4 linked regions of the Diceros bicornis minor genome follow. The protein of the gene in region 1 purifies or fractionates together with the protein of each later gene. This does not show direct contact. Links are inferred from orthologs where the notes say so. Each region holds a gene or a part of one and is shown in the gene's direction. Other genes may lie near its edges. The genes, in order: PPP1CB, RAI14, TRIOBP and PPP1R12B.

Region 1 (7,586 bases):
TATTCGAAACAAACCTTCACATTTTGTATACTTTTCTTCACCAACACACATAGTTATTTCCTGGTATCTTGTTTGAATGAGCAGTATGGGAGAGCACTGAAAGAGAAACAATCTCACACATGTAGATGACACGGTTTTATTGTAACAAACTAGGAGTGACCCAAATAGACAGCTGGCCCTGTAATCTAATTAGAAGAAAAAAAGAAGGGCCACAGACCAACTCTTCAAAAATTAAATAGTCATCGTTTGAGGTAGCTGCCCATCCAACTTTAATTGCCTTATAGTTAACAGTTCTACACAGCCAGTTAATTCCTTCAATTACTAGGCATTTATTTTGCAATCCTTTTATCTTGAAGGATATACTAGAGAATTAGTTTAAGAAACAACGCTCCACTGCTCCACTGACAGTTTGTGTGTGTGTGCTGGGGGATCAGAATGGGGGGTGGGGTGGGGGTGGGGGGAGAGTGACCAAGGGCAGGGGAAGAGACATTTGCTTCTACCTGGCTTTCTAATTTGGGGGGCTAAAATGACTGAGGACATGCCTTACAACTTAGCCGATAACTTTGGCGCTTGATTATTCTCTCAAGTATGTATTGAAATGAAACCAAAACTAAATCTTAAGGAAAAATCTTGGCCTCGCCTGAGTGTACCACCTAGCCCTGGCTCTGTATTGAGAGGGGTGGCCTCCTACTGATGCATGTGTCTTTGACTGGTTTCTCAATATCATCGAATTAAACCAACTACAAAAGCATATGACATTTGATATAGAGAATGGCTGATCTCAAGGTATATCCAGTAAAATTTACTGCCACTTAAGATTTATTAAAGACTTGATTAAGAGGGATCACACTTATGGAAGAACAACCCAATGAATGTCGATTCATTCATTTACAAGCTACCTTGGATTAGTCAGGGCAGCAGAGAGTTATATATCACTATCACAACCTCCACATTTTGCTACCTAAACCTACTGATTTTCACAATATATTGGCTATTGGTCAACATTGAGAGGCATGTAAAACATCCCTGTGAATGTCTGTGCTGTGTTTACTAAAAGGAATCATGAGGCTGCTGTACATTGTGTTCCAAAGTGCCTTCTTTGAGGACAATTCATAGAGATATCTCTCTGTTCTCAGCACAGAGATGGTTGGGTTCCTCTGAATACTGGTCTGCCTTTATCTAATGGTCACTGGTATGTCCCAGGCATTTCCTCTTAGTAAGTACAAATAAGACCATGATTTTATTAAGACCCAAAATCATGATTCCCCAAGACTCTTGCAATCAGGAAGTCCAATTTCCCTTCACAGACATTTCTGGAATTACCCAAGGATATTGACATTTGTGACCCAAATGTCTCCCTAAGCCCAGTGGTGTGCTGGTAAATGTTTAACAACCAGCTCTCTGGTGGAAAAAGCTATAGATTTATAGCATTTGCTAATTTCTTTGGTGTGACTACTCCCACTGTGGCCAATATGACGTCACTGAACATGGAGCTGGAAAGAGATGCATAGTAGCATATCATTATGTAGTATTTCCACCATACAGATATAATAGATGTAAAAAACCTCTAGACTATACATAATAATAAAATGTAGCAATATAAATCGGATATGATGAATTTTGAGTTATCATTACCTTTGTTCCTTTGTTTTTAGTATAATTTATTTGAAAGTATATAATTTAGTTATTAAACAATGGCTCTGTTTAACAACTGGCTTGCAAAATTCCTGCAAGTTTAACAATTGGCTCTCCTGAGCCAGTGTAAGCTGGCTCCAGGACACCACTACCTAAAGCCCCACTGGGTTGGGAGTCCCAGCTAACAGTTTGCCCTTTGGTCTGTTAGATTAACAATCCTGGTCTAACAAGGAGCAAGCCCTTAGCCTGATTCCTTTCCTGAGTCTTGCTACACATCCATAAAGAGTGACAGGCAGTTTCCTACATGCAATCAGAACCACTACTTGCCACTCCTCTGTTCCAAAGTCTGCTGGTCTCCAGGCTTGGGTGCTCTACAGGGCTGCTGCCCACCACAGTGCCTGGTCCAACCAATGTCTCCTACACCACTGGCAGCCTTCTTATGTCTCTGCTTCCAAGGTGCTAGCTTCCCCAAATGGTGACCTCCACTCTGCCCCCAGGCCACTGCTCATACTCAGGCCAAGAGCCTCCTCAATGTCAGCATCTGCCAAATGGGGCTTCCCTCTCCTTGGTACCCACCTACTCTTGAACCTCATGGTGGCTCCCACTGCCTCTATTGCTGCTGCTGTCTATAGCACTGTCAACTCCAGCCTCCAGATCTCCCCTCTTACTTCTTCCTCTGTCCTCAATCTCCTATCCACATTTTTTTTTTTTTGAGGAAGATCAGCCCTGAGCTAACATCCATGCTAATCCTCCTCTTTTTTTGCTGAGGAAGACCGGCTCTGAGCTAACATCTATTGCCAATCTTCCTCCTTTTTTTTTTTTCCCAAAGCCCCAGTAGATAGTTGTATGTCATAGTTGCACATCCTTCTAGTTGCTGTATGTGGGACGTGGCCTCAGCATGGCCGGAGAAGCGGTGCGTCGGTGCGCGCCCGGGATCCGAACCCGGGCCGCCAGTAGCGGAGCACGTGCACTTAACTGCTAAGCCATGAGGCCGGCCCCTCCTATCCACATTTTAAAGTCCAAAGAAAATTTGAAAACTGAGTGTCATGTAAATGTGGCACCAAAACTCATTGAACAAAGTAGGATAAGATGCAAGTGATGCATAATCTCAATTTTATAAAATAGGTGTGTGTGTGTGTGTGGATATATATATATATATATTTTTTTTTCCCCCCAGAAATAAGACAGGAAAGTGGTTATCTATGGATGCTGAAATTACAGGTGATTTTTATATTTTTTTCTTTGTTTTCCAAATTTCCTTCAATCAACACATTTTATTCTGAAAAAAAAGGCTACGTTAATGGCAAATTTGACCTAAACTGATATGAGGCATAATGTAGTCTTTATTTATCTTACATGATGTGAATATTCATGATTTCTTTAAAAAAATTAACGTTTCAGACTATAGTGAGCTGCCCCAGAAGCTGCTGGGGTGTTAAGTAATATAGAGTACATGCACCTCTTAAACTTCAAAATCTGAAGAATTCTGAATCTGAATTCTTATATAATTTTGGAGGGGGATTCCCACAGAAAAGTTGGTTGGGCCCCTAGTGATATAGCTCTTTCATTTTTATAACAGCCGTTTCTTTCCCAGGATTCCAAGGCACCAGAAAACCTGGTTGGGGGTGGAGAAGGGGACATCCGCAGGCAGTACTCAGAACCACTCTCCAATATATGCTGACTCCCAGAACTTGCTGAGTCTGGCCTCTCTCTGCCCCATTCGTGGTGATTTTCTCTCAGATGCTCATTTTCTTTGCGCAGTCCAGTTTCCTTTGGGTGTCCCTTGTCCATTAAATATATCTGCATATATTCGAACCTTAATTGTGGACAGGGTTCAAAGTTCTTTTTCATGGGATTCATGGGCCCCATGAAAACTGAAGGATAAGCAGACACCTATTTAAGTGTTCCCAAGCATTATGTTGCTCTTTAAGAGGCTCATGGAAGAGCCTTGGGAAAGTGGCATCTAACTCCACAATCTGATGTCTTCACGTCCCAGTTCCAGCTCAGCCAGAACACCTACCCCACTTGCAACCCATCTTTTCCTTGATTGCCAGAACGCTTAGAATCATATCTGTGGCCTATGCCTAGCAAACGATGCATTTTACATACAAAACTGCTGGTTTTATCTTACCTTTCCCACGCTGTTTTCTTTTGTCCTATTTTTCTCTGTACTTATTTTTAATTTATCCTACTGCATTTATTTACGTAAGCTACCTTAAACTCCTTCTTCTGAAATAAAGCAGAGTATAAATAAATGTTCTTTAACAGAGTAGACGGAGACGTAATGATGCCAGCCCGAAGGTACCTGAATACCCGATGACATCAGTAAGATATATATGAAAGCGCTAAACAGAAGGCAGAGAGTGGTATCCCCGTAAAATATTACTATTGCTAACCCTTCCAGGGCCCACTTGAACTTATTTCATCCAAGGACACTTGGACAACTAGCCTTGTGGAACGGTAGGGTATAAAACCCCTTATTTGCAACGTCAGATGTTTCCAGCAAAGGAACCCCTTCTTGCTTTTCAAACGCGCAAACCCGGGTTTCAAACATGAGTAACACAGTCCGCGTTTCCCGTTTAACGGAAACAGGAGGAATTGCTTGCAAAACCAGGGAATAAAGCCAAGAAAAGTAAAGCGAGGCGGGAAACGCACAACTACTGCGTCTGCACAGCGCCCCAACAGAGGCCGCTGGGAACCCGGAAGAGCAGCACAACCTAAGCGCGCTCTGCGTAATGGGAACTTCCTCGGCGCAGCAAACCCGGGGAGCCTCTTGGGCGCCTGCGCGCTGCGGCGATTCGGCGCAGTGAAAGGGGCGAGAGAGGGCGACGCACCTGCGCAAAGGGGGCGGCGGCGGGCGAACCGAGTCCAGTGCGGTTGCGCGAAAGCCGGGGCGTGCGGGGGGGGGGTGAGGGCCGTGGAGGAGTTCGCCGTGCGCCTGCGCGGAGGTCTGCGTGGCGCGGTGGCGGGGAAGGGCGGTGTGGAGTGAGTGGCCCTGCGGGTGGGGCCGTCGGCGGCGCTGGTGAGCTTTGCGGAGTTGGGCGGTGCCGAGGAGGAGGAGGTGGCGGCTGGGTCTGACGCGGCCCGGTTCGTGGGGGCTCCGCTTGTTTATTTATTTATTTCTCGAGTGTGCCTCCGAGTGTGCGCGCGCTCACTACTTGGTGGGGAGGGGGTGGGGGGAGGGCCCCGGGGCAAAGGGGGAGTTGGAGCCGGGGTCGAAACGACGCGTGACTTGTAGGTGAGGGAACGCCGAGCCATCGCCGCAGCCTCCGCCGCCGAGAAGCCCTTGTTCCCGCTGCCGGGAAGGAGCGTCTGGTGCCGACAAGATGGCGGATGGGGAGCTGAACGTGGACAGTCTCATCACCCGATTGCTGGAGGGTGAGTGCGGGGCCCGGCCGGCCGCAGGGGGGCCGCCTGCCTCGGTCCTCGTTCCCGCTCCGCCGCCGACATCCGAGGGGACCCCCTTTCCCGCCCCAAGGCGGCCTCCGAGGAGGGGGCGAAGAGGCCGGCTGGTCGGGGGAGCGGCCTCCGGGAACGCGGTCGGGGGGAGGCAGGGCGAGAGGGGCTGTCCCTGCAGGTGGCCGGGCGGGCAGTGCCCCCGCGGACCTTCGGCGACCGGGCCGGCGGCGCGCCAGCCGGGGGGTGCTCGGAGCCCCTTCCCAAGGAGGGCGCCGGGATGCGTGCTCCTGTGCGTTGTGTGTGCGTGGAACGTGTATTTCTCTCTGTTCTCTTTGTGCATTGCCCTTGGCTGTCTTGGATTCTTGTTCCGGGAGTGAATTTTATAAAAACCTGCTTGAGACGATTGCTTGATCTAGTGTTCTACGTTTTCATATGATGCTATAGGACGAACTCTATTTAAGGAGAGGATAACATTAGCGGGAGTTAAGTACCTCCCATTTGTTGTTTAGCTTAAAAAAATAGTAAAACAAAAGTCGTTGAGCTGAAGATGCACGCAAGAACTGTGAAATATGTAGATACGTTTGCTGAAGGGATTGGCTTTCCGGCTTGAGAATTGAACAGGTTTCAGCAGGATTTAATTTCTGCACGAACTTAGAAAAGATCTGTTGTAAAGATTCTCGTGTTTAAAAGGTATTTACAAGTCTTCGCAGCTTTTGAAGTTTACAGGCTCTTCTGTTTTTGTTGAACAGTTTTATGTTGGGTTAGGGGATTGAGGGAAAGCGAAGAGATCTCGGAGAGGCCAGGATATTATTCAAAGTTAATCGCGGTCTTCTGCCAGTGAATCCCCGTACCCTAAAATTTGCGTCATCACTAATTGCTTTGTGAGTGTGTAGAAAAGAAATTAAGCCTTTACATTTAGAATCCTCTCTGTCAGGAACCAGCGAAGGATTGCATATGCAGTAACTGTTATTACTTCCTTTCAGATTACCTGAAGGTAATTGTTTACTACAGTGAAGCAGTCTGTAGTTACATTTGGAAAATCATCAAAGAAGATTGTATGATTGGGAGTGGGGGGAGGGCGCTAGTTCCTTTTTTCAACCAGTATGTCGATATCTCATCGGTTCTGTATGTACCCATTGTGTAACAAACTACAGTTTATTTGCTCCAGATGTGAAAGCCTTCCAGCAGTCTAAGACTGAATGAGAAGCAAAGTTTCATCGGGAAGTCTTATTTACCTTTTCCTTTACTATCAAGTTATTCCTGGGAGGCCCCCTGGTGCCTGCAGTCAGTGTTCACTACTTAAGACTTTGTGGACTTTAACAGATGTGCACATCTTGCTGGGTCTGTGAGACATTTGCTTTGACAAAAATTGTATTTTGTAATTGTGCCTTGTTGAAAGAGGAAAATATAGCTATTTAAGAACTTTAATGTCTTGTTAACTCTTGGGGAAGTTTAGGCCCATCACCATTTTTATACATTTTAAAATTGGCTTGTAAATTTAAATATTTTAAAAATTTAATGTTTTTATATCAACTTCTTCACTTTTATTTTCCATATACTTACATATTTATATACTTCATAGGAATAAAATGGTAGATTTATGTATTTCGAAATGGTTGATCTGGAACTTTTTAAGTCAAACGTACTTGTTTTTTTTCCCCTTTGTGAGGGAGATCAGCCCTGAGCTAACATCCGATGCTGATCCTCCTCTTTTTTGCTGAGGAAGATTGTTCCTGGGCTAACATCCGTGCCCATCTTCCTCTACTTTATCTGCGGCTCCGCCACAGCATGGCCTGACAAGCAGTGCATCCATGCGCGCCCTGGATCCGAACCCTCGAACCCTGGGGCTGCGGAAGCAGAGCTAGAGCACTTAACCACTTGCACCACCGGGCTGGCCCCTAAACGTATTTTTTTGTGATTATAGATATGTCAGAAGCTTCACTAGTGGATTGTTCAAGGTTATTGGAAAAAAGATATGGTAGGAAAAATAGGCTGAGTGAGTGATTCCATTTCTTTTTGTGAACTCAAATTGAACGTTTGGTTTTGGACAATCTTTTTTCCTTCTTTTGGTGAGAATTCTAGTCCAGACATTTTCCCCTTTTAAATTACCAAGCATTTATTGACCTGCTTTGTGCCAGTCACCAGGAATCCAAAGATAAGACACAATCTCTTTACTCAAGGAGCTCCCAGTCTAAACAAGTGATTTTCAGGCTTTCCTAGCCTCCTCTCTGTTTATGTGTTCAACACACTCCCATCAGTAAAGAATTTCATTACTTGCTTCTTAATCCCAGGAAGTACATTTAGTTTGACAGTGCCTCTCTGGGGTTCTTAAATTCTCCAGGCTCCTCTCCTTCCCCCCTTCAAAATTTAGACCCATTCCAAAACAGACTTTGATTTTCTAATAAGTATTTTTAGTCTTCAAATAAAAATTTTTTTGTCTGCCTTGATTTTCAGTGATGTTACATGCTAATTAAATTTAACTCAAATTCAACTGGTGGCATTTTGTAAAGCTGCCTAGCAGAATAGCTACAGTTAATTTTTTTTTTTTTTTT
Region 2 (7,062 bases), on another chromosome or scaffold:
TAGGGAAGTTAACAGGACCACTCTGGAGTCGGGCATCCTAAGCCTTGATTCTTGGCTCCACTCTTTCTGGCTCTGTGATTTGGGCAAGTTGGTGGATCTATTTGAAACTCAGTTTCCGCATCTGTAAAAACAGGATAATACTCCATCCAAGTTGCTGTGAAGATTAAGAAAAACCTTGCATCTATTAAATTCTCAATCCATATGAGCTTTTAAGCAGACAGTGTTGCACAGCAGTTAAGAGCGAAGGCTCTAGAGCCACACTGCCCTAGTTTGAATCTCAACATTGCCACTTCCTAGCTGTGTGACTTTAGGCAGGTTACTTAATCTCTCTGGGCTCCAGTTCGCTCATGATCCCAAAGGAGATAATAATGGTACTTACAGGGTTGATGTAAGGATTAAATGACCTAACATTAGGGTGGCCTGAATATCAGTTTACTCAGGACAGTTCCAGTTTACGCCTTTTGTCCTAGTATCCTGTCTGGTTTAGAATTTGCCGGCCCCATTTCACTCTCAAAAGTGTCAAAGTTGTCCCAGATTGGATAATTAAGTATATGGCCACTGTAGTTAATGTATATATCACTTAGAAAAATGCCCGGTATAGAGAAGATGCAAAATATGTGTTAGTTGCTTATATTAACCCCTATAGCAGTGCTATCCAATAGAAACATAATGCAAGCCCCATAGTCATAATTTTCTAGTTAACCACATTTTAAAAAGTAAAAATAAGTGAAATTATAGTTAATATATACATTTAACCTAATATATCTAAAATATTAACATTTTGATATGTAATCAATATAAAAATTATTAGTGAGATACTTTTCATTGTTTTTTTTTTTCCAACCTAAGTCTTTGAAATCTGGTGTATATTTCACATTTATAGCACATCTCAATTTGGACTAGTGATATTTCAAGTGCTCAGGCATGGCTAGTGGCTACCACAGTGGACAGCACAGTTCTGCAGACTTCACATTCCTCATATGAGATCATGGGCCAGTCTTCAGACTTTCTCAGGTCTGTAACGTCAAGGCTGAGACACTTAGCTTCTCTGCCACACCCCTACAAGCAGGGATCTGATGCAGGGCTTTGGAATGTATTATTACCAAGCATCTTAGCCTCACCTCCAGAGCAGGGGCCCAAGGTCACTGAGAAGGAAAGTGTAGTAACCCACCCTAGGAGAAATCTCTGCTGGCTTCCTGGCAAGTTCAACAACCATGCGCCAATCAATGTTTGCAGGCTACTTTATTACTGTGGTCTTACTCAATTGAGAAAAACAATGCTAAAGTTATTTTATTAATTTCTCCCATGTCACAGTTTCTTCCTATTTGGAAACATCCCCAAGAAAATACAGAAAGTGGTTTTTCTATGAATATTTGGGCTTTTTTCCATAGATTATCTCCCTGTAACCTTCTGATTGTTTTTGTCCCATTCTCTGGACTGGTTCCAATATCGCCACATTCCTCTAAATCACACTGCCTCTAACCAGACCCAGAAGTGCAGCCAGATCCTGACCAAACACCAAACAAAGTGGAGGGTTACTTTTTGGCTCCCTGATACTGATCTCTATTTCCTCCTTCAGGGACAGTTTCTTCTTACCCCAACAAGTCTTAGCTTTGGTTCTCCAGACTTAAGAAGTTCCTAATGTGGGGAGAACTGATATTGGTGAGAGATGGGGCAAGAATGAAGGGATGTGATATTATTTAATTTCAAAAATGAAAATTGAGCCCTACCAATCAATAAATTCCATTTATGGATCCCGTTAAGTCCTGGATGGCAACACTCTTAGGAGTTTACAATCTTGATAGTATGACAAGACTCACCTGCTAGAACAATTAAAGACTGATGCTTTGCCATAAAATGTAAGGACAAAATTGCTTGTCAAGTCTCTTCAAACTGATTCTCTCACACTAAGAGAATGGGCTTAGGATGTCAGAGCTGACAAAGTTCTCAGAGGCCATCTTGTCTTTTACTGATTAGGAAAGTGGGACCAGGAGAGGTTCAAACACTTGGTGAAGTTCCGATGGGGTCCGGAAACCTGGTCCCCTTGCTTTTATTACTCCTAGTACTACATATCACACAACAGTTACCTTGATTTTGGGGTAATTCCCCTATTGAAATACAACGTGCTGTTCCTCCCAAAAAGGTTTTACCAACTTTACGCAGGCTAGACGGTCATTGTATCCTTGCTTCCTTCTCTCAAACACTTTCACCTGGGCCTGATCTCCTCTGAAGGGTGGTGTTCAATGTATCATGAACCCAACTAGCATTTCTAAAAGGCCTGGGCAAAAAAAACCACAAAAACCGATGAGAAGACGCTGTTCAATCCCATACTTGACCACCAATCCTCCCGCAGGTGGCAGAACTTCAGCTATGGTCTGAAGCGAGTGGTTTGAGTTTCAGGGGAGGAGGGATCTGGAAAAGGATCTTGGCACATGGGACTAACTATAAGAGTTCTTCCCTCCACTACAGTCCTTCACCAGGAGTTGGACTTACTGATGTTAGAAGGTGAGATTATAAACTAAGGAGAAAGAGCATACAAGCCACCTACAGGAGCCACAGGGCTGACATAGGCAGGTAGGCTCATTGGCAGGTGGCTGGGACCGGGCCTTGCAGAGTAAAAGAGAAAAAAAAGAAGAGAGAGACAGGGCTTCTGTGAATAAAAGGCTGATGACCCTGCCTTACACAATGACTGTTTAATGTGATATTTTAACTCCTTCAGCAACCGAATCTGCACATGTTAATTTTCCAAGGCAAAACCTCACCTTTCCAGTCGCCCCTCCTTGAAGGAGGTTGACCTGCCAAAAGCAGAACAGAAAACTCACAAGCGGCAGTATCATCCACCCTAAATAACCTACAGTACACCATTAATAGGACCACAATGAAAAACTGCATTGTAGAAATTGCCAGCATTCAACCAAAAAGAAGTTTGCCAGTTCGCATTTCTTCTGGAGCGTGATTTTATTTGAGGGGGATAACGGACAGGAAGAGGAGTGCACACATCTTGCTTTACACTGGCTATTCACCACTTCTCTAAGGAATGTCTGATGTAAGACTTAGCAGGTGAAGGTACACGCAGCTGGGTTCCTAGCTTTTGCTCCCTGTTTGATGGCATCTGTTAAAGCTCAGACAAGACTGTACCCTTGGCTTGGGGGTAGAGAGGGTAGGGATACAGATCAAGTCTGACACGTAGACGTAAAGATCTGGCCAAGACGTTATGAGGCGCGCCTGGAGGGGTAGTGGTTAAGCTCAGCGTCTTCTGCTTCAGAGGCCTCAGTTCACGGTTTGGATCCTGGATGCGGACCTACACCACTCATCAAGTCACGCTGTGGCCTTGACCCACATATAAAGTGGAGGAAGACTGGCACAGATGTTAGCCAGGGCTAATCTTCCTCAAGCAAAAAAGGAGGAAGATTGGCAACAGATGTTAGTTCAGGGCTACTCTTCCTCAGGAAAAAAAAAAAAGATCTGGCTAAGACATAAATTGAACTCTATTAGGCAAATTTCACTGGTTGGAATTGGCTTTTTTTTTTTTTTAAGCTCAATTGATTTAGAGTGGATCGCTCTCTAAGTCCCTTTTGGGGACTCATACTGCTAATTTATTCTAGGAACCTTTCTGCCCTGCACAAAGAATGCAGAGCTAACCCGGAGAACGGAGAACGGAGGAGCTTTGGTGAATAAAAGACTTTCTAAGCCATAGCTGGTTAGCATGACTAGAATGAATGGAAAACCCGTCCCAAATTAAATGAGTAGGTGGAGAGCTTTGAAATCCTCGGAATTAAAGGAGGAGTCCATTATGATTCAAACGCAGGTCTTAGCGGTCTGGGGAAGGGAGGGAAGCCGTGGGGTCCTGGGGAGCGAGGCCGTCCCCCTTTGCAGCCCAGACACTGCTTTGAGGGCGTTCCCCATTCCTGTCTGCCAGTTCAGGCTGTAGATTTCTCCTGACTCCTGAGCAGAGTTAGACACTTAACGCTGCTGATTTTCTCCTGCCACCTGATGAGTGTCAGGCAACAGTCACTCCAACCAGTTGGTTCAGTCCAGAGTCTACGAGCACATTCTCGTTTACTTTCTGTTCAATAATTCTGGAAAATATAACCGATTTGATTCTGGTTAGAAAGCGCTTAGGATCAGTGACTTTTAAAACACCCACACGACCACAAACCACTTTGGAAGTTGACCAGAAAGGAATGCTATTCGGGATCTCACGCGACCTAACCCCGGGGATCAGAGTACCGGTGGTTTCCACGAACTTCAGGTGATGGTGATGAAACAGATCCGTGGGGAAGGGTCCCACGATCCGTGGAAAACTAAAAGCAAGCCACGGACGCCCAGGGCGCGCGGGCCCAGGGGATGGGTGCCTCACGGGCCGGGAGCACCTCCCGCAGGTCCGGGCCGGAGCGCGGGGCCGGGTCACCTGACCCGCGGAATTTGGGCCCGCGCGGGGTGGAGGGGAGGGGAATGGTTAGCACCTCCCTTCCCGCTCCCGCGGGATCCGGGTCGGCGGGGGCCGGCGTCGGGCGGCCACGTGGTGGTGCTGCCGCTGCCCCCGCCCCGCCGGCCCTGCCCGGGAGCCGCGGCGCCCACTGACCCCCGCAGCGGGGGAGGAGGAGGGACCGAGGCGCAGGAAGCCGAGCAGGAAGCGAGCCCGGCGGCCGCGTTTTCCTGGGGAAGCGGCGGGCGGGGTGGCGCAGCCAGCGGGGCCCGGGCAGCCGCCGCCGCCGCCTCGATGGGGTGAGTGCGCGGCGCCGAGAGTTGGGAGGCTCCCCGGAGCGGGGTCCCCGGCTCCCGTCCCCGCCTTTGTGTCTGGGGCTCGGGCGAGGGAGGCAGCGAGGAGCCGGGGACCGCGCGCCCGGCGGAGCAGCTTAGCAGGGGTGGCAGCGAGCGTCCCGCCACCGCTCCCTTGTCCTCCAACTGTCTGCAGAGGGCAGATTTGGGGACAGAGGAAGAGGAGGATGGTGGGGATCAGACTAGAGAGGGAGGACCTGGCCAAGTTAGGAGAGGGGCTTCCTCTCGGTCCCCCGCGACTCGCAGGCCGGCTGGGGCAGGGCGCGGGGTTGCTGCGGAGGGAGCGCAGGTGGGAATGAATGACCAGACCCCGGCAGGGCGTTCTGGGTGTGCCGAGTCAGCACCCTGTCCCACCTGCTTGGCCCTCCCGGCGCCCCGCTCCCCCAGGTCCCCGCATCTGGGCTCGACCCGCCTCCGCGCTGAACTTAGGGGAGCTGGGGAGGAAGGCGCGAGCGGGAGACTCGAGAAGGCTCGGGCAACCGAGGGTCGGCTATTGTTCCTTTTCTGACTCCAGGAGCCCTTCGCCTTGCCCAAGGCGCCTCCCCGCCCTTCTTGTCCTCTTCTCCGCCGTAGCTCCGAGGAGGGCCGGGAGGAGGGATGCTGGAGTTGGGGCAGACGCGACTGAGGGAGGAGGGAGGATGTGGAGCCGCAGGAGAGGCGCCCTCCCGCCCGCCATTTACCCCAACCTCTGCCCAGGAGGGTGGGTACCCTCCCTAATCTACGTTTCCTCCGCTGCGGGCTTAGGCAGGTTTGTGTCTGCGGTTTAGTTTCTGCAGTTTGCGGGCTTCATCTGCTAACCCTTGGCTCACGCTCTCGTTTGGACTTCGCACCCCTCTTTTGTGAAGGGGGCCTCAGAGCCTGGAGAGGCAGCAGACCGGGCAGATGGAGCCTAGTGTAAAGTGGAGGAGTTCCAGGTGACTTCCTAGGGCCTGGGCCTGGGCAATATATCCAAGCTTCAGCCTCTTCTCCGAGAAGCCCAGCCCGGCGCAACTTTTATTTGCAAACATTGGGGCAAATCTGCTGACTCAACGCTGCTCGCCTGGACCAGAGGCGGCTTCCTTTGGCCGCAGGCTCACAGGTGATTTGGATAGGTCTTCGTTTTCCTGACGGGAGAGGACGATAGCAAGGGCTCTGGGATGGGGAAACAGCCAGTTCTCTGGGGAATGTGATCTCAAGACTGAAAGGGCCCGGCAGAGGGAGGAACTGGTTTTCTAGAGACGAGAGTCGCACCTCCTTGAGGTTCGAACAAAGTTGGAGAAGAGAGACTGCATCATAGGGAGGTTGGATTTTCATTGCTCTGTCCCCAGCTTGCAGGGCCCTGTTCCCAGGTGTGGCTGGGAGTTTTACTACTGATAGATGTAATCTGATCATCTTTTCTTAATGGTGCCTAACCAGTCTCTTTTTTTTTTTTCCTCTTGGGCTTGTAAGACAGATTTTATGGGAGGAAATTTATGCAGTTCTTATAATTTTTAACCAGTGCTTGCCTAACATGAATTGGGAGAGGTAGTCCCATGTTGGGCTGTTGGGGGTCTTTCATCTCCATTCATTGAGATGCTTAATTAATTTATTGTATCATTTATACTCCTTCGATTTGTTTTATGGCTTTTTTGGGGTGGTGGCCGATATAACCCTATTGAAAAATCTCAGTACTATTATCAGTGAAATTGAATAAAAAGAATGGCTGCTGGGCCCTGGAGATTCAATGGGGGAATGATATAATGTCCCTGCCCACTGGTAGTGTAGCTGACAATGAATTTCTCCAGACTGCCACTTCCCGAAGCGTCTTTGAGGCAGGTACACCTAGTATCACCCCCGTTTCAAAGGTGAAGATACTGAGGTTTGGAGGTTAAGGGCAACTGTGCTTTGGAGTTATTAGAATGTGGTGGAGGAGTTTTGTCTGTCTCCCTTTGTTTCTTTTAAAGTAAAAATGTGAAATATTTCAAACATACATAAAAAGAGAATATAGTAAGTCTCCCATTTTTCCACTACCTATGTTTAAGAGTTGCTAATCTTTTCATATTTGCTTACCCTCTTGATAAAAATAAACTGCTATGGAAATATTTTATCCATCCCTCCTCCTCTGCCTCCATCCTCAGGGAACCACTAATGTGAAGTTAGTCGGCAAAGTTTCCAAACATGTTTTGGTACTTCTGTATATTATGTGTCTACAGACAATATCTGTAAGCTTGTGTGTTTAACCTTTTACGTAAATGGCGTAATTCTATATACATACGACTTGGATTTTTAAATTTGTCACTATGTTTTTGAGGTACATGTAGA
Region 3 (7,919 bases), on another chromosome or scaffold:
CTGCTGCAGTTAGTTTCCCAGAGGAGAGGCAGGGAGACCCTCCTCTCATGCGGGCGCCCTCTCACTCTCTCACCAAGCATTGACTGAGCCCCTGCAAAGCCCCAGGCACCAGGGATACGCTGGTGAGCAAGGGTGGTCCCTGCCCTCTGGGGACTTATATTTCATGGGCCAAAGCTGTGGGGACAGAGAGAAGACTGGAGGAGAAATAATAATAGCAACATTTGTTGAGCACGCACTGTATACCAGTCACTCGTTACATGCTTTAACTCACCGAGTTCTCCCCAGTAACCCCACAAAGGAGGCAAGTCCATTAAGCCCATGTTGCAGGTGACACACTGGGGTGGGGCCCCCTTGGCCAGGACACTGTCTTGGCTGAGTTCTAACTACTCACTGCCTCCCAGTTGGAGCCGGAATTTAAGTTGTGAGTGGCCTCTGGCTGGGCACCTGCACATCCCCAGGGAAGGATCCAGAAGGTAGATGTTCTTCCCCAAGGAAACGAGCCACACCTTAGATACATACGTTAACACTGCTAGACTGGCTGAACAAACCAAAGAAATGGAGGCGGAGATCCAGGATCTTTCCTCCAGGGGGCGCACGCACGTGGTCCGTAAAGTGAACGACAGCCAGGAGCAATGGGAGCCCTGCACAGGAGCGCAGCAAAGTGAGCCCTTGCTTCAGGCTGGAGAAGCCAGGAGGGGCTTCCTGGAGGGGGTGGCGTTTAAGTCATCACTAAGGGAATGAAAATCTATCTGCAATTTACCATTTCAGAGACATTGCATAGAATGAAGATTAGTTTGGTTTGACTCACAGAGTGTTTAAAAACAATTTGACTTAGCCATATTCTAAAATGTTGAGATTTCATATAAAAGTTCATATTTCTGGCTTCTCTAGTAAAAGCAAGCCTGGCCACCTTGGATCACCACTTCACAGGGTGGCTGTGGGCTGGAGCCAGCCCTGAAGACCCCTTTAGAGACTCATGCCTTCCTGCCCTGCTCCGCTGGACCACAGCCCCTGCATCTCTGCCGTGCCTGCCCAGAGCACATGATTCTCCTGCAGGCCTGTGGGCAGGAAGGGCTGGGATGACCATTCCCACGTGACTGCAGGAAACTGAGGCTCCGAGGGGCAGAGTGAGGCTGAAACCGTCAGTAATCATTCCGCTTCCCTGATCTCTGAAGAGTGGTGTCGCAGCCACAGGGAACGGCATGAGCAGAGGTGGAGATAGGCAGGCACAGACTCTTCAGGGAGCAGAAAGGGGGATGTGAGGCTGAGACTAAATGGTGACACATGGTGACACTGCCCTGGCTGCCACCGTTACGCCCTTGGCCCTGAGCCGTCTGACCCGTCCCGCAGAACTCTGGGAGGGTGATTTTTAAACCAGGCTCTGTCCTCGAGTAACTGAGTGGCTTTGGGAAATTTGCTTGAGTCTTGAGTTTCACTTCTACAAAATGGGGATGATGATGGCTGCCCTTCCCATCACAGGGATGGTGTTGGGAGAAATACTGGGTGTATGAGGAGGGCAGCTTCACCCTCTTGGGAAAAGGAAGGACAGTTATTCTCTAGATTACTAAAGGCCCTTCCTCGGGTCTCAACCACCCTCATGGCCACTGTCCCCCCACAAGAGGGGGGCTTCCTCCAACAGTCCCCTTCACTCCTCCCGACCACCCTTGGCTCCTTGGCCCCCTCGTCCTGCCTCCTTCCAATCGTCTCTCCTTCAGGACCCTGGCTGCTGCCCACCTGCCCGCCGTCCTCCCCTGCCCTCCAGGGGCCCAGCCAGGCGGCTCCAGAGCTGGGGAGAGCGCCCAAAACGACCCATCAATCGGGCCCCTGGACTCGTCCTCCTCTCCCTCCTTGTCCCACTCCAGCCTCCCTGCTTCTGTCCCCTCAGCAGAAACGCTCTTCCCCAGGACCTGCAGGCTCACTCCCTCTTCTCCAGGTCTTGGTTCAGGTGTCGCCATCTCAGCGAGGCCTTCCCTCCACCTCATTTAAAATGTAATGCCCTCCGACCCCCTTCCCTGCTTCGTTTTTCTCTTTAGCACCTGTCACCAGCCAGCATGCTCCATATGTTGCTTATTTATCTTGTTTGGGGTCTGTTTGTCTCCACTAGAATGTAAGCCCCATGAACGCAGGAGATTCAATCTTTTGTTCACCGATGGACCCTCAGCACACACAACTGACAAAGTAAAGGCTCCGTAAATGATTAATGAATTGAATTTAATGAATTGTCAGAAGTGTCACCCTGAGTTGGTTCCAGGTTTTATTGATTGGTGGGGGCTAGAGGGTTGGGGCCATACCCTGATCTTCAAACTCAAACCAAGTACCCACCCCACCCCAGGCTCAGAGAAGTCAAGAAACTTTCTGAAGACCACACAGCCAAGAAGTGCTAGAGCCAGATATTGAACATGAGTCTCGCTACTCCCTGTTTTGTTTACAGTAATTGGGACTGAGCAGAAAGTTCATTATCCTTGTTACGAAGCTGTGTTTTCACCCGTTCCGTCCTGGGCTGGGATAATCTGTTCTGGGGCTGTCTCTCCTACTGGTCAACAGGATCCTCATCTCAGAAGCAGCCACATTTTATTCATGTTACCATCTCCCAGTGCCCAGCGCAGGCCTGACATATACCAGATACATATGAATGTCTGAGTGAATTAGTGAATGAAGATGCTCGGTAGTGGCTGGTGGAGTCAGACACACCAGGGTTTTAGTCTTGGCTCTGCCACTTGCTAGCTGTGTGACACTGGTGAGTTAATTTCTCTGATCCTCAGTTGCTCTGAAATGAGCATCTTGGTACTTAATCCTTCAGGTTACTATGTCCTCATGAATGTAAAGAATCTGGAATAGGAGCTGGCACATAGACAGTGCAGAGTAAATGTTAGCTTAAAAAGGGGGGCAGTTAAAAAAAGGGGAGAGCTGTGCATTTTGTCAGTGAGCTCCACATCAGTGGAAGTGTGCAAATGGAGGTTGAAAACCCCCGGGGGCATTTCATTTCATCCTCACAGGTAGTTACTATTACTCTCCCCATTTTACAGATAAGAATATCGAGGCACAAAGAGGTTAAGTCTCTAGCCCAAGGTCTGGACTAAAGCCAGCCTAGGGGACTGTGGCGGGAATGAACAAACGGGAAAGAGATCAGAGGGAGCCAGATCCCAGTGCCAGCCCTCTTCAGCCCCTGGGGACCCTGACCCAACTGCTCAGGCTAAACGTGCGGCAGGTCCCGCGCTCGGAGGCATCTGGGCGCCGCCCGCCTCCGCCCCGCCCCCTGGCCTCGTGTTGTCCAATCACACAGTCTTCGTGTAAATGAAGCACTGGAGCGAGCCTATGCGGGAGCGGCAGGGGCGTGGTCTTCGTCCTCCTCCCGGGCGAGGTTCTGATTCATTGTTAAAAAGGCTGTGACCCCGGCACCCCAACCCAGACCCGCTGTGCGTGGAAACCCGAGCCGAGGTTAGTACTGGATACCGGAAAGCGGGGGGACGTTAGGGAGGACTGGTGGAGGGGCGAAGGATACGGGCAGGGACTGGCTGACGCGCTCGGTGGAGAGAGGTCCAGAGGTCCATTCTCCGGGCGGGGCATGCGTGTCCGCTGGTTTTTCATCGCCATGTCCACACCTGAAGTGCATTTTAGAGAAGGATTTGCCCGTTGGGGAGGAGGAAGTGGGAGCAGTAAGGGGCACGTGGAACAGAGCCCCCTACAGCCGCCCCCGGGGAAATAAGCAGCGTTCTCCCTCCGAGGCGATGCTTCTTTATGTGGCCAGACCTGGAAAGAACCGCCCAGGCTGGGCGGAAGGGATGCGCGCCCCCTCCCCTGGAAGCAGGGAACGACGCGAGGAGATGACGGCCCAGGGGAGATCGGAGACCCCGGGGCCACTGAGGGTCCAGTAGGTGCCCCCCCGCCCCCCCCAACACACACCGTGCCCTGCCGCCTCCCCAGGTCTGATGGTGGAGGAGCCAGGAACCCTCGCCCTGCTGCCCCAGGGGAGGACTTGAGATTCTCTAGCCCTCACCCCAGACTGGCAGCAAAGGCCTGATCCCCCCGGGACTCTGTGGAAGAAACTCATCAGGTGAGGACAGGTATGCACAGGTGAGCTGGGTACACCGTAAAATGAATGTGAGTTTTGGGATGTGGATTCCTCCCACGCCCACCCACCTCCTGGGGCTCTATGTAGGTGAAGAGGGCATCCTCATGTTACTCCTCTGTCCGGGCTTTCCCCCAGGGCATGGTGTGGGAGCCCTCAGTGGTGCCCAGAATGGAGAGCTCTGTGCTCAAGTCAGACACCAGGGTTTCTCTTGGGCTCAGCTGTGCTGCAAACTTGCTGTGTGACCTTAGGTTGTTCACTTTCCTCCATGACTGTGTCCTGGACTCTGAAAATACCTAGCCAGCCTTTTGCCTCACTCCCAGTGTTTCCTGAGGGACCTGTGTGAGTTGGCAGAGTGACCCAGTGCCCCTCACCTTCACCTCTGAGAGGGTTGGGAGGCACACAGATCTGGGTGTGAATCCAGTTCAGCCATTGGGACCTTGAGCAAGTTCTGGAACTTCTGTGAGCCTTAGGTGCCTCATCTGAAATTGGCATTAATTTTATCTCCAATGCAGGAAAACTGTAAGGCAAGGGGACTCAGACTTTGGGGTGCATTGAATCACCTAGGGGGACTTTAAAATGCACACCCCCAGGCCTCACCTCTAGAGATTCTAATTGGGTGGATCTAGAGAGGGAACTGGGAATATGCATTTTATGAACAGCTCGGCTGAGTCTCATGCAGGGTCCTTGGAACACACTGTGAGAAACACTACAATGACTAGAAATCACTTGTCAAATACTTGGCAGAGGGCCTAGTGCTAAGTAGGTGCTTAATGAGTGTTTGTTGAGTGAATAAATGAACAGATGAATGAATGGATGGATAACCTTGTTTCCTTGGTCTTTGTCTAGGGGCAAGCTGGGGCTGGGGTCCAGGTTGGCTTCCAGCCAGTCACCTGGTCCTTGCCTCCCCCATTCTTCCCAGGCCCTGCCACAGATCGCAGGAGCTGCCCTGGCCTCACTCAGCCAATATGGAGGAGGTGGCTGGGAAAGCCCCCTGTGAACACTTTGAGGCCAATGTGCTTGCCCAGAGCTGCTGTCAAAACTGCTTCCACCCTGAGGAGGCCCACAGAGCAAGGCACCAGGTGGGCCGGCTTTCCTGCGTGGTCAGCATGGTTAGGGATGGGGGAGTCCATGCGGACTGGGGCCTGGCTGGGCCGCTATCTTGCACTTGAACGCAGACACTGGCCTTCCTCCTGGGCAGAGCCGCAGTTTTCCATCTGTACAATGAGGTGGTGGGACCATGTTAACGTTTCCAAGTGCCAGTCATTCTCCTGCTTTTATGATTTTGTTGTTGTAACCTCATGTGATCTATTACTTACCTTTTTGCTCTTTAAATCAGTACCCTTTTCTTATACTGAACCAAAACTTTACCGCCACAAATAGAAGACTAGGATCATGTCCTTTAGATGGAAGGTTAAAAAGAAACAACAGGGGGCCGGCCTGGTGGCTTAGTGGTTAAGTTCACGTGCTCCGCTTCAGCCACCAGGGGTTCACAGGTTCGGATTCTGGGGGCAGACCTATGCACCACATATCAGGCCATGCTGTGGCAGTGTCCCACATATAAAGTAGAGGAAGATGGGCACGGATGTTAGCCCAGGGCCAGTCTTCCTCAGCAAAAAGAGGAGGATTGGCAATGGATGTTAGCTCAGGGCTAAGCTAAAAAAAAAAAAAATCCCCCAGTACCAACTGGAGACTTTCTCCTGGAGGGTGTGGAAGGGGAGGAGATCCTCATTTTGTGATCGAGGTGGTCTTAGGCCAAGCGCCAGTACACGTAAACCCAGAGTGCCTGGTACACATGCTGTGAGAAGCACGGGACCGTGAATCTCCACGGGCCCTTCCAGCCTCGACCCCTATGGCTCCATAATTCCCAGAGGGTCCTGAGGCTCCTCCTGAGCCCAGCAGCCAGCTGCACGCAGGGCACTAGGCTCAGACAGGTGGCCATCGTAAGGGAGTCGCTGTTCAGCCTTGGAGCCAGGCAGGCGGGAGTTCCAGTCCCGGGTTTGGCACTGACGTGCTGTGTGACCTAGGGTCGTTAGACCTCGCTGGCTTCATTCTCCTAATGGGTAAAGTGGGGCAACAAGGCTTCTTCTCACTCAGGGCATCTGGCACTGCTCAGCCCAAGTCACGTGTGGCTGATTCAATACACGTTAGCTTCCTCTCCCTCCTTCCCAACCAGAAAAGTAAACGCTGGAGATGCTTTCCTACCTGTCTTGATGCCTCCAATAACAGCTCGCTTACCCTCATGCCAAGTTCAGGGCACAGCTGGCTGAAAGCCTGGAGAGGCCGTCTCCTGTGCAAATGGCCTCCTCCCAGTGGGTGGGAGATGGCAAGCGTGGAACAGCGGGAGAAACTTGGGTGCAGACAGTCTGAGTTCCTGTCTCCGTCCCACTACTTACCCGCTGTGTTCACAAATATTGAATAGGTGCTTAAAATGTGCCAGGCATTATGCTAGATGTCGGGGAAATAGTGATTAAATAGAACAGACACAGTCCCTGGTTCATGGGGCTTGTGGTCTGGCAAGACAAATGGAGACTAAGAAAGTAATCAGGCAAAGAAATATTGAATCATGGTTGTGATAAATGTTGTAAGGGAACAGCAAGCGGCACGAGGGTAAATGATAGGGCATCAGGGGACGTTTCTCCAAGGAAATGACATTTCAGCTGCTTGGTAAAGGCTGTGGGAGCATTGGCCAGGGAAGTTGGGGCAAGAAGAGGGGAAGAGAACAGTATGTGCAAAGGTCCTGAGGCAGAAAGGAGGATGGAGAGAGGCCAGCGAGAGGGAGGGGCAGAGGAACTTGGGGACAAGGATGGAGAATGGGGTGGGGGCTGGGTCTCGCTGGGCCTTGCGGCCTTGCTGAGGACTTTGGACTTTTTCCTGAGAGGCATGGGTCCCACTGAAGATTTTAAACAGGGGAGTGATGTGACCAGATTTGCATTTTCCAAAGTCACTTTGACTGCGGGCAGAGAATGGAGTGCAGGGAGGGAGAGCGAATCTGGGTGACCAGAGGAGTTTACTGACTGCAGACCTCAGCAGGGGATAGAGGCTCTCCGGTCATGAGGATCTGGTGCTGATGAAAGTCTTGCTCACGGATGAGCAGTTTCAAACATGTGCAGTCACAAAATTTGTGTGTTAAAAAAGCATCCCCAGCCTTGATGGAGCTGTGCAGATACCAGCCGGATCCCTAATGACACCTAGGCGCAAACTCATCCCTGCAGCCCTGATAAAAGTATCTCCTGGGGCTGGAGCCAGTTCTGACATCTTCAGCTACCTAGAATATGCAGAAATGGCCCCAGGCCCCAGGTCCCAGGGCAATCCTTTCCAGGAAGCTGGCTCTAGCTCCCCTAGGATCCTGGTTTCTGGATGCTTCTCTGCTCTGCTCTCAGCTGAGTCTCCCACAGGCTGGCAGGTGGTATCCCTGGAAATCACACAGCCTTGACCAGGTCATGGTCAAATTCTGGAGGGAGGGAGGAAGGCTGGGTGGGAGGGTCCTGCTGTATGTCAGGCACCCACATCCCTTTTCAATGTATTTATTCTTAAGTGTATTTAACATTCTATTGATTTAACACTAATAAAATTCTATTTAATGCTTTTATGTTATTTATTAAATTTAAGATGTACGGACCAGGCACTGTTCTAAGCCCTTTACAAATATTAACTCATTTAATTCTCCTAACACCCCTTGGAGATGGGTCCTCTTATCTTCCCAGTTTTGTAGATGAGAAAACTAGGCTCAGAGAGGGAAGCCACCGGGCTGAGGTCACTCAGCTGGGAAGTGGAGGTGCCAGGATTGGGCCTGATGTCTGTCTAAGGCCAGGGCCGGTGCTGACCCGCCAGACAGGAAATCAGAGCC
Region 4 (7,109 bases), on another chromosome or scaffold:
ACAGAGACACCTCCCGGTGCTGCCCGGCTGCACCGCTTTGGGTGGCCAGTACTGCTCCACGTTTCGGTTACGCGGTCGGCTGTGCTTGTCAGAGCAGAGAAGGAGCTGGAAATCACCTCAAAGAAGGAATAGTGAAATGAAACGGAAATACTTGATCTGAGGAAGGGCGTACGTGGTACTTATCTTCGTTTAAGTATTTTTCATCTGGAAGATTTTACTGCTTCAGAGGACACGTCTAAGACCAAGGGGTGAATATTAAAGCGATACAAAATTTAGCTCAATAAAGCATTCTAGCGATTACAAATCTGAAGAACAGAACAGGTAAACCTGGGAGATAGTGAAGTCTTTCCTCACTGGGAGTTGGTTAGGGATGGCGCAGAAGGGATGCTTGCATTGGGTGGCGTTTGGAAGAGATGACTTTTAAGCCTTTTCTAACTCTAAAAGTGTGGTCCTACCTGACCAAGAAAGTACCTGGTCATAGCTGAGCCAGCCTTGACTTCTCGAAGGTTCCTCTGCCAGAGGCGAATGCTGCATGACCTGACTTGAATCTAGAGGACATGGCAGGAACTTGACTAGCCTTCACTAACTTTGAATGCTGTGGGTGGAAAAAACCACAGCAAGCCCTCATCTCACTGCTTTCGGCTCATTGTGTGGCTTTGGAACAGCGCTGGCATAGGAGTAATGGCCAGTTTTCCTAAACGTGCTAACCAGTATAATTTTAACTACTGCAGTGATTTCTGCATTTAGTCCAAATTGGTGTTGAGTAGCAACTGGTTTCCCGTGACCACTGCAAGGTGTGTTCTCTCCTCCAGAGACCCACACATGCACCAGGACTCTGTCCATGATTCTACCCTGGGGATCCTCACATTGGTAGTAGGAATGAACCAACTCAAGTAGCTTATGAATTACAAGCGTAAGGAATCCTGTTACTGTCCAGCCCAGTTTCCAGTTAGCTGTTGAGGTTTTGATTTATGGTCAGCATTTACTCATTGTAGTGAAGTGTTTCCTGTCATAATTCTGGAGTTGGCTGCTTATTTCACTGCTGATACTTTCTGATTTAATCCCTTCAATGTCTTCTTTTATTTTCTTCCTATCTCAGTTGTGTCTCAATTACAGTTCTGTCTTCAGAACTGAAATTGATTACTTTCTTGGGTGGATCTCTGAGAAGAGTCTTAGAAATGTGTCTTAGAAAAAGCAGGAACTGTATTGAGTCTGGTGGAAATGAGAGATGGCCTGTAAAACAAGCAAATACCTGTAGTTTTGACAACCAAAATGAAAGGATTAGATAAAAGAAAAAATAAAAAGTACTTTATGGGCTAAATATACAGTTTCCATTTGTCCACCAGAGGGAGGTATATTAACTGGTGGAAATAGAGGCCAGGCCGAACGCTTTCCATAAACTGTGTACAGGTGTCATTGCTTTTAAAAATGGAGTATTCTAATATTGTAATTTATTTTTTTAAGAGCATGTGTGGAGAATTGTTATTTAATAAAAGTTCTTCAGTTTATACCAAAATTTATATGCATCATAGCCAGCTCACTTAGTACATTTAAAAGAACAAAAATTGTGTCTTATTTATGCACAGGATTATTTGTCAGGATTTACTCACTTGGATACAAAATACATTTTCTTTAGAGTATTTGTTTAGGAAATCTAAACTATCATGTTTGTTTAATAAGTTGATTGTATAAGTTTATTCTCAGAGAGCCCTGATTGGGGGAAGATGTGTCAGGAAAAACTTACGTGATTTTAATTTTGAAAAACTTCAAGCCATTATATGTAGATTAATTTTGTTGTATTTTTTTGGCATAAATTTTTTTTGTCTAAGCTGGTTAAATTAATTAGATTATAATAATTAATTACTGCTTTCTGTAATCACAGAGCTGAAAGATATATTTCTCTTCTTCCAGGTAGGCATGCACTTAAATTATCCAAGGATCTTAACTACTTATATTTTACTTTAAAATCTACAAAGAGGGTATTACACTCTTAACTACCTCAGGAAAAAAAGCAACTAAAATAAATTTAGTAAGGAAGTTCTTCCTGAAACTGAATTTCTTCCTGTTGAAATTTAAGTTCACACCTCTTGGGAAAGTAAGGATTTAACTTGGACTTAGTCAATTTTAGCTTATTTATACTCCTGGAACCAGATAGTTCTTCCTTCCTGATTCTGAATGCAAAAAGAATACAGCCAAAAGAAATGTAACATTGTTGATTCCTGAAAATTTTACTCCAGTTTAAAAATCCTTATTAGAAAACCAGTATGTCAGTAAAATATACAGTTGAATGATACATACTTTTTTTGAGCAGCTGTTGTGTACCAGGAGCACAATATTAAAATGGTGCACATGGCTTGCTGTCTGTCAGAGATGTGCTTCCTGAGATTTCAGCAATATGCTTTATTCTGAAACCTTGCCCCCTCTCACTTTTTGGCTTCCTTGCCAGATTGGCAGAGTTAAGCTTATAATGTCTCTTGAAGAGAGTTAGGCTTCTAGCTGGGTATTGTTTCCTATTTGATTTAATATCAATGTTTCTTTTATCCTGTAGGGAGAGTTCTGTTTTAGAGTTTGTGGGCAATTTGCATTATCAGCAAGAGGCTGGGTTGGAATAAGAAGGGGTTCCATGTCAACAAGTTCTAAAGTAAAACGCATACAGAATTTTTAATTGCAATAAATGATGAGGCATGATAAGTTCTTGGTGACTCTAAATTAGTGGACGTCACAAGGAAAACAAGGCTATATAAAGTATACATTATTACACCTTGATTATTTTTATGCACATTGTTATTCACAGTTCATAAAGATGCTGTAAGACTTAATTAGTATTTATAAAGTATTTAAGAATACCTAATTAAGCATATTGTGGATAGGCACAATATTATTAAACATAATATTTTGCATTTATATGTCGCTTTTCATTTGGTTCTCAGTTCATCTCGGGAAATTGAAGCACAGGCAAATGTTCACATGATAGAATATAATAAAGTTTCTCTTTACAGTGACCTAATCATTTTTGCAATATTTTTTAATGAAAAATGTCAAACATGCAGAAAAATTTAAAGAACCTAATAATTGTACATGTTCTCTTTCATTATAGATAACACAATTATATTTTGTCCAGGGCTAAGGCCCTTGGGCGTATAGTTATTAAATCGATCTGACAGGTTTTATAACCAAGTTCATGGTGCATATGAAAATGTCCTACTTGCTGCCTTAGGAGTTTAGGATGCTGCGTGGTATCTTTTTGTAGCTTTGGGGAAAAAAAAATCATGGATGGCAAGACATCCATTCTGTCTCCTAAGAATTGAAGATCCATGGAAAGGGTAGAGGAGGAGGAGGGAGGATGAAAGGAAATTAATATTTATTGTGAGCTGATATATGCTGGGATAGTACTAGGTATCTTCGCGTATACAGTGTTATCTTATTTGATCCACACGACTACCCTGTGAGGTATTATTATTCCCATTTTATAAATAAGGAAACAGGTTCGGAGAAGTCAAGTCACTTGTCTAGGGATGTGAATTCAATTTGAATTCAAAGTTTATGCTCTTTCCACTATACCTGGACGCATCCTTTGCAGGATGTTTTCGGGGCCTTGACTATAAGTGTCACGTTGAACGAATTTATGTAGTATATGTAACACTGTGTGTGTGTGCATGCTCCTCCTCATCACGCACATTTACGTTTACTTTAACAATACACGTTAATAGATTACATGTGATGATGTGAATAAAACTGTAGATTTAAAACCAGGACATGGATTTGAGTCTTTCAGGTACTTTATGAAAATAGGGATAATTACTGCTCCTTTTCCACTTCAAAGGACCGATGTGACCATTAGGGAGCCAAGATGAGTGGGTGTCAACAAGAATAAACGACGACTCCTAACCGTCCAGGGAGGCTGGCCCTGGTCCGGGAGACTGGCCGGCTCGCCCCCGCCCCGCTGCATCCCGGGACTCGTAGTCCCGAAGGCCGCGGAGGCTCTCACTACGAGTCCCGTGAGGTCCCATGCGCGGCCGCGCATGCGTGTGAACGCCGAAGCGCGCGGGCGGGGCCGCGCGGGAGAAGTAAAGATGGCGGCGCTTGCGTTTCCGGCTTCTGCTCCCGGCTGAGGCTCTCCGAGGGACAACACGGCGACTGGAGCCGCCCCCGCGGCGTGGGGCGGGAGGGCGGCGGCGGGCCGGAGCCATGGCGGAGCTGGAGCACCTGGGCGGGAAGCGGGCCGAGTCGGCGCGGGCGCGGCGGGCCGAGCAGCTGCGGCGCTGGCGGGGCTCGCCCACGGAGCAGGAGCCCGCCGAGCCCCGGGGCGCCGGGCGGCGGCCGGCCTCGCGGCGCGGGAGCCCGCGGGTGCGTTTCGAGGACGGGGCCGTGTTCCTGGCCGCGTGCTCCAGCGGGGACACGGACGAGGTGAGGAGGCTCCTGGCGCGGGGCGCGGACGTGAATACGGTCAACGTGGACGGCCTGACTGCCCTGCACCAGGTAACCCGGTCCCGCGGTCCGGCCGCCGGGGAGGGTCCCTCGGGCCGCGGTGTCACTCCGGCCGGCTACCCCCGGGTCAGCGCTTTCCCGACCTCATGGTCCCCACCGAGGGACGTATCACCCGCTGCCCGGGCAGGGTTTGTATTTCCCTCCGCCTGCTTGGGTTGCCATGGTTACCGGTGGTTGGGTCCCCGGTGTCCCCGGCACGTAAGTCATCCTCACTTCTGCCAGTCGGTGTGCCTGACACCGTGTCACTCGTAGGCACGGTCAGTGTCGTCTGTCCGGTGGCCTTTCTGAAAGTTCAGTGTTCTGCTTGTGCGGCCCTATCATGGAGTATCTTAGATCCCTGAAAGAGTAAACCCCTGTGTGGAGTCAAGGCAAGCAGATCTGAAACGGCACCTCTTGTTTTGCAGATTTGTCGTGATTCAGAAACAGTTTGTGTCTCCTGCAGGCTGTAGCTCCTGGGACACCCCCTTATTTTCTTCCTCGCAGTGTTCCTTCCTAAGAGCTTCCTATGGAGAACCAGCCATCCGAATCACTTGCGTTTGATATTATGGAATAGCCTTCTGTAGAAATCGCATGCCCTATATACAGCTATAGTGTGTGGATTGTGGATAACTTGACAGTTTTGTGCTTGGTAATAACACCTTTACTTCTTTCATCTTATACAACAGTATTCTATATATACTGACTGTCGTAGCTGGCTCCACCCTTCCTCCCCAAATGGAACTTCGTCACTTATTTTCGTGAGATGAGAGCCAGGCACCCCCTCTTAATCTTCCCTCTTTTTCTTCTACTGTCCATGCAGTAAATGTGTTGGCATGAGAACCTACTTCTAAATATTAATTCAGTTTTGTGTCATACCACTTCCCTGAATGTATTAGCCAACATTCATATAGTCTGTTGCTGTTTAAAAATTATTTTATATGCATCTCAGCAGTGATCTTTTGAAGTAGGTGTGGCAGGTAGTGTTATTCTCATTTAACAGATGAGTAATCTGAAGCTCAGAAAATTGTTACTTTTACAAGATTAGAAAGGAGAGAAGTTGCCCCTAGGCATGAATTTTTCGGATTTAAATTCCAGAGCTTTATATCCTACCTGATAAGGAGCTAAATATAAATAAGATAGATACTAGGAGGGCTACATTCATTATTCTAAATTTCTGAACTCTGACAAGGTGAATTTTTATTTATTTTTGTGTGTGTGTGAGGAAGATCAGCCCTGTGCTAACATCTGCCAGTCCTCTTTTTGCTGAGGAAGACTGGCCCTGGGCTAACCTCCATGCCCATCTTCCTCCACTTTGTATGGGACGCCGCCACAGCATGGCTTGCCAAGCCGTGCGTCAGTGCGCGCCTGGGATCTGAACTGGCGAACCCCGGGCCGCCGCAGCAGAGCGCGCGTACTTAACTGCTTGAGCCACCAGTCCTGCCTCATGAACTTTTATTTTTTAAATGTATTTGGGATGTTAAGGAGTTTGAGATCTGTATTCTGGAAGAAACCATTTCATGGGTTCATAAAGGGTAGAGAACTAGAACCCAGCTTTCTAGTTCATGTGTACCTTTATTGAATCACTCACTGTTCTATCAAAGCACAGATTTTTTAGTGTAACTCAGTAGCCCTGTTTTTTTTTTAAGGTGACTCTGCTAGCCGTACACATTTTAATAACACCCTGAGAAAAGCACCTACTTTGAGGTCACTCTTGGTAGAGCTCCTTCCCATACAGGTAACCACTTTTCTGATCCCTTCTCCTGAGACTGACCTCCTTGGTGCCTTTCCTTCTCTCTTAACTACCACCCCCGATTGTGAAGTGCAACTTCTCTCAGTTAATATGATCTTCACATTCAGTAATCTCTTGAAATAGGAGAAAGGAGATGTCAGCTCTGGACTTTTTTTTTTAACACCTGCAAATGCAATGTAGGCATTTCTCCCTGTTTACAGGGCTGGCAGTGAGTTGAACTGAATAGGTATACTCAGTACTAGACAAAGCTAAAGATTAAGCTGCTGGAAGATTTCGGGTCAAACAACCTTCTGTTGAGAAACCATCTCTTTGTTTGAATCAAGACAAGGGGCCTTTATTGGCTCGGGAACTCTTTTACAAGTCAGTTTCTGCAGAGTTACAATATGTTTCTCCATAGTCTGAAGAACTCTTAAGGTACATAAAAGATTATTTTCAAAACATGAGACTGGAGCTGCCAGTAGCTGAAGAACATACTTTATGACTGATTGTCCTTTTGTGAAATGGAGAGTCGTACAGTTATCTGAATTATTTAGTTAAAATAGCCATCTGTTATGTAAGCATAATATGAATTATCAGGATAATTCCTTCCTTTCTCTTGTTTTGGCCATGGCCCCTTGACCAACTGTGGGTTATCATTTTGGCATGTTGGAAGAAACCCCCAGATGATATTGGGGGACGATTTTTCTCCTCCTCCCACAAGGTCACAGTAGATGATTTGCACTTCAGGTTGTGGTGCCTTGATGCTACTTTTGACTTAGGGACCTTTCTTTCTTGGCAGCCTTTGCTTAGGCCACGAGGTTCTTGAGTCAAAGATAACAAGCTCCAGGGGGCCTGTTAATAATACTTGAAATAGACTGGGATAGGGAGTATCTCAAAGGTTAGACCTACTCTG

What was found.
Region 2: the proteins of PPP1CB (region 1) and RAI14 purify together in Homo sapiens (affinity purification with mass spectrometry; 3 studies listed by BioGRID and IntAct, with this or other methods). This does not show direct contact. The link is inferred for Diceros bicornis minor from reciprocal best matches to the Homo sapiens genes PPP1CB and RAI14.
Region 3: the proteins of PPP1CB (region 1) and TRIOBP purify together in Homo sapiens (affinity purification with mass spectrometry; 3 studies listed by BioGRID and IntAct, with this or other methods). This does not show direct contact. The link is inferred for Diceros bicornis minor from reciprocal best matches to the Homo sapiens genes PPP1CB and TRIOBP.
Region 4: the proteins of PPP1CB (region 1) and PPP1R12B purify together in Homo sapiens (affinity purification with mass spectrometry; 4 studies listed by BioGRID and IntAct, with this or other methods). This does not show direct contact. The link is inferred for Diceros bicornis minor from reciprocal best matches to the Homo sapiens genes PPP1CB and PPP1R12B.

Annotation. Positions count from the first base shown.
Region 1 is NC_080751.1:54,244,962-54,252,547, reverse strand, and holds the start of PPP1CB (serine/threonine-protein phosphatase PP1-beta catalytic subunit), read left to right. Parts: upstream 1-4,566; 5' UTR 4,567-4,657; intron 4,658-4,873; 5' UTR 4,874-4,961; coding exon 4,962-5,013; intron 5,014-7,586. UniProt on the Homo sapiens protein: Protein phosphatase that associates with over 200 regulatory proteins to form highly specific holoenzymes which dephosphorylate hundreds of biological targets.
Region 2 is NC_080759.1:34,338,156-34,345,217, reverse strand, and holds the start of RAI14 (ankycorbin), read left to right. Parts: upstream 1-4,052; 5' UTR 4,053-4,252; intron 4,253-4,661; exon of another isoform or gene 4,662-4,728; intron 4,729-7,062. UniProt on the Homo sapiens protein: Plays a role in actin regulation at the ectoplasmic specialization, a type of cell junction specific to testis. Important for establishment of sperm polarity and normal spermatid adhesion.
Region 3 is NC_080764.1:12,051,945-12,059,863, reverse strand, and holds the start of TRIOBP (TRIO and F-actin-binding protein), read left to right. Parts: upstream 1-4,918; 5' UTR 4,919-5,037; coding exon 5,038-5,151; intron 5,152-7,919.
Region 4 is NC_080777.1:30,433,211-30,440,319, forward strand, and holds the start of PPP1R12B (protein phosphatase 1 regulatory subunit 12B), read left to right. Parts: upstream 1-4,101; 5' UTR 4,102-4,188; coding exon 4,189-4,479; intron 4,480-4,485; exon of another isoform or gene 4,486-5,116; intron 5,117-7,109. UniProt on the Homo sapiens protein: Regulates myosin phosphatase activity. Augments Ca(2+) sensitivity of the contractile apparatus.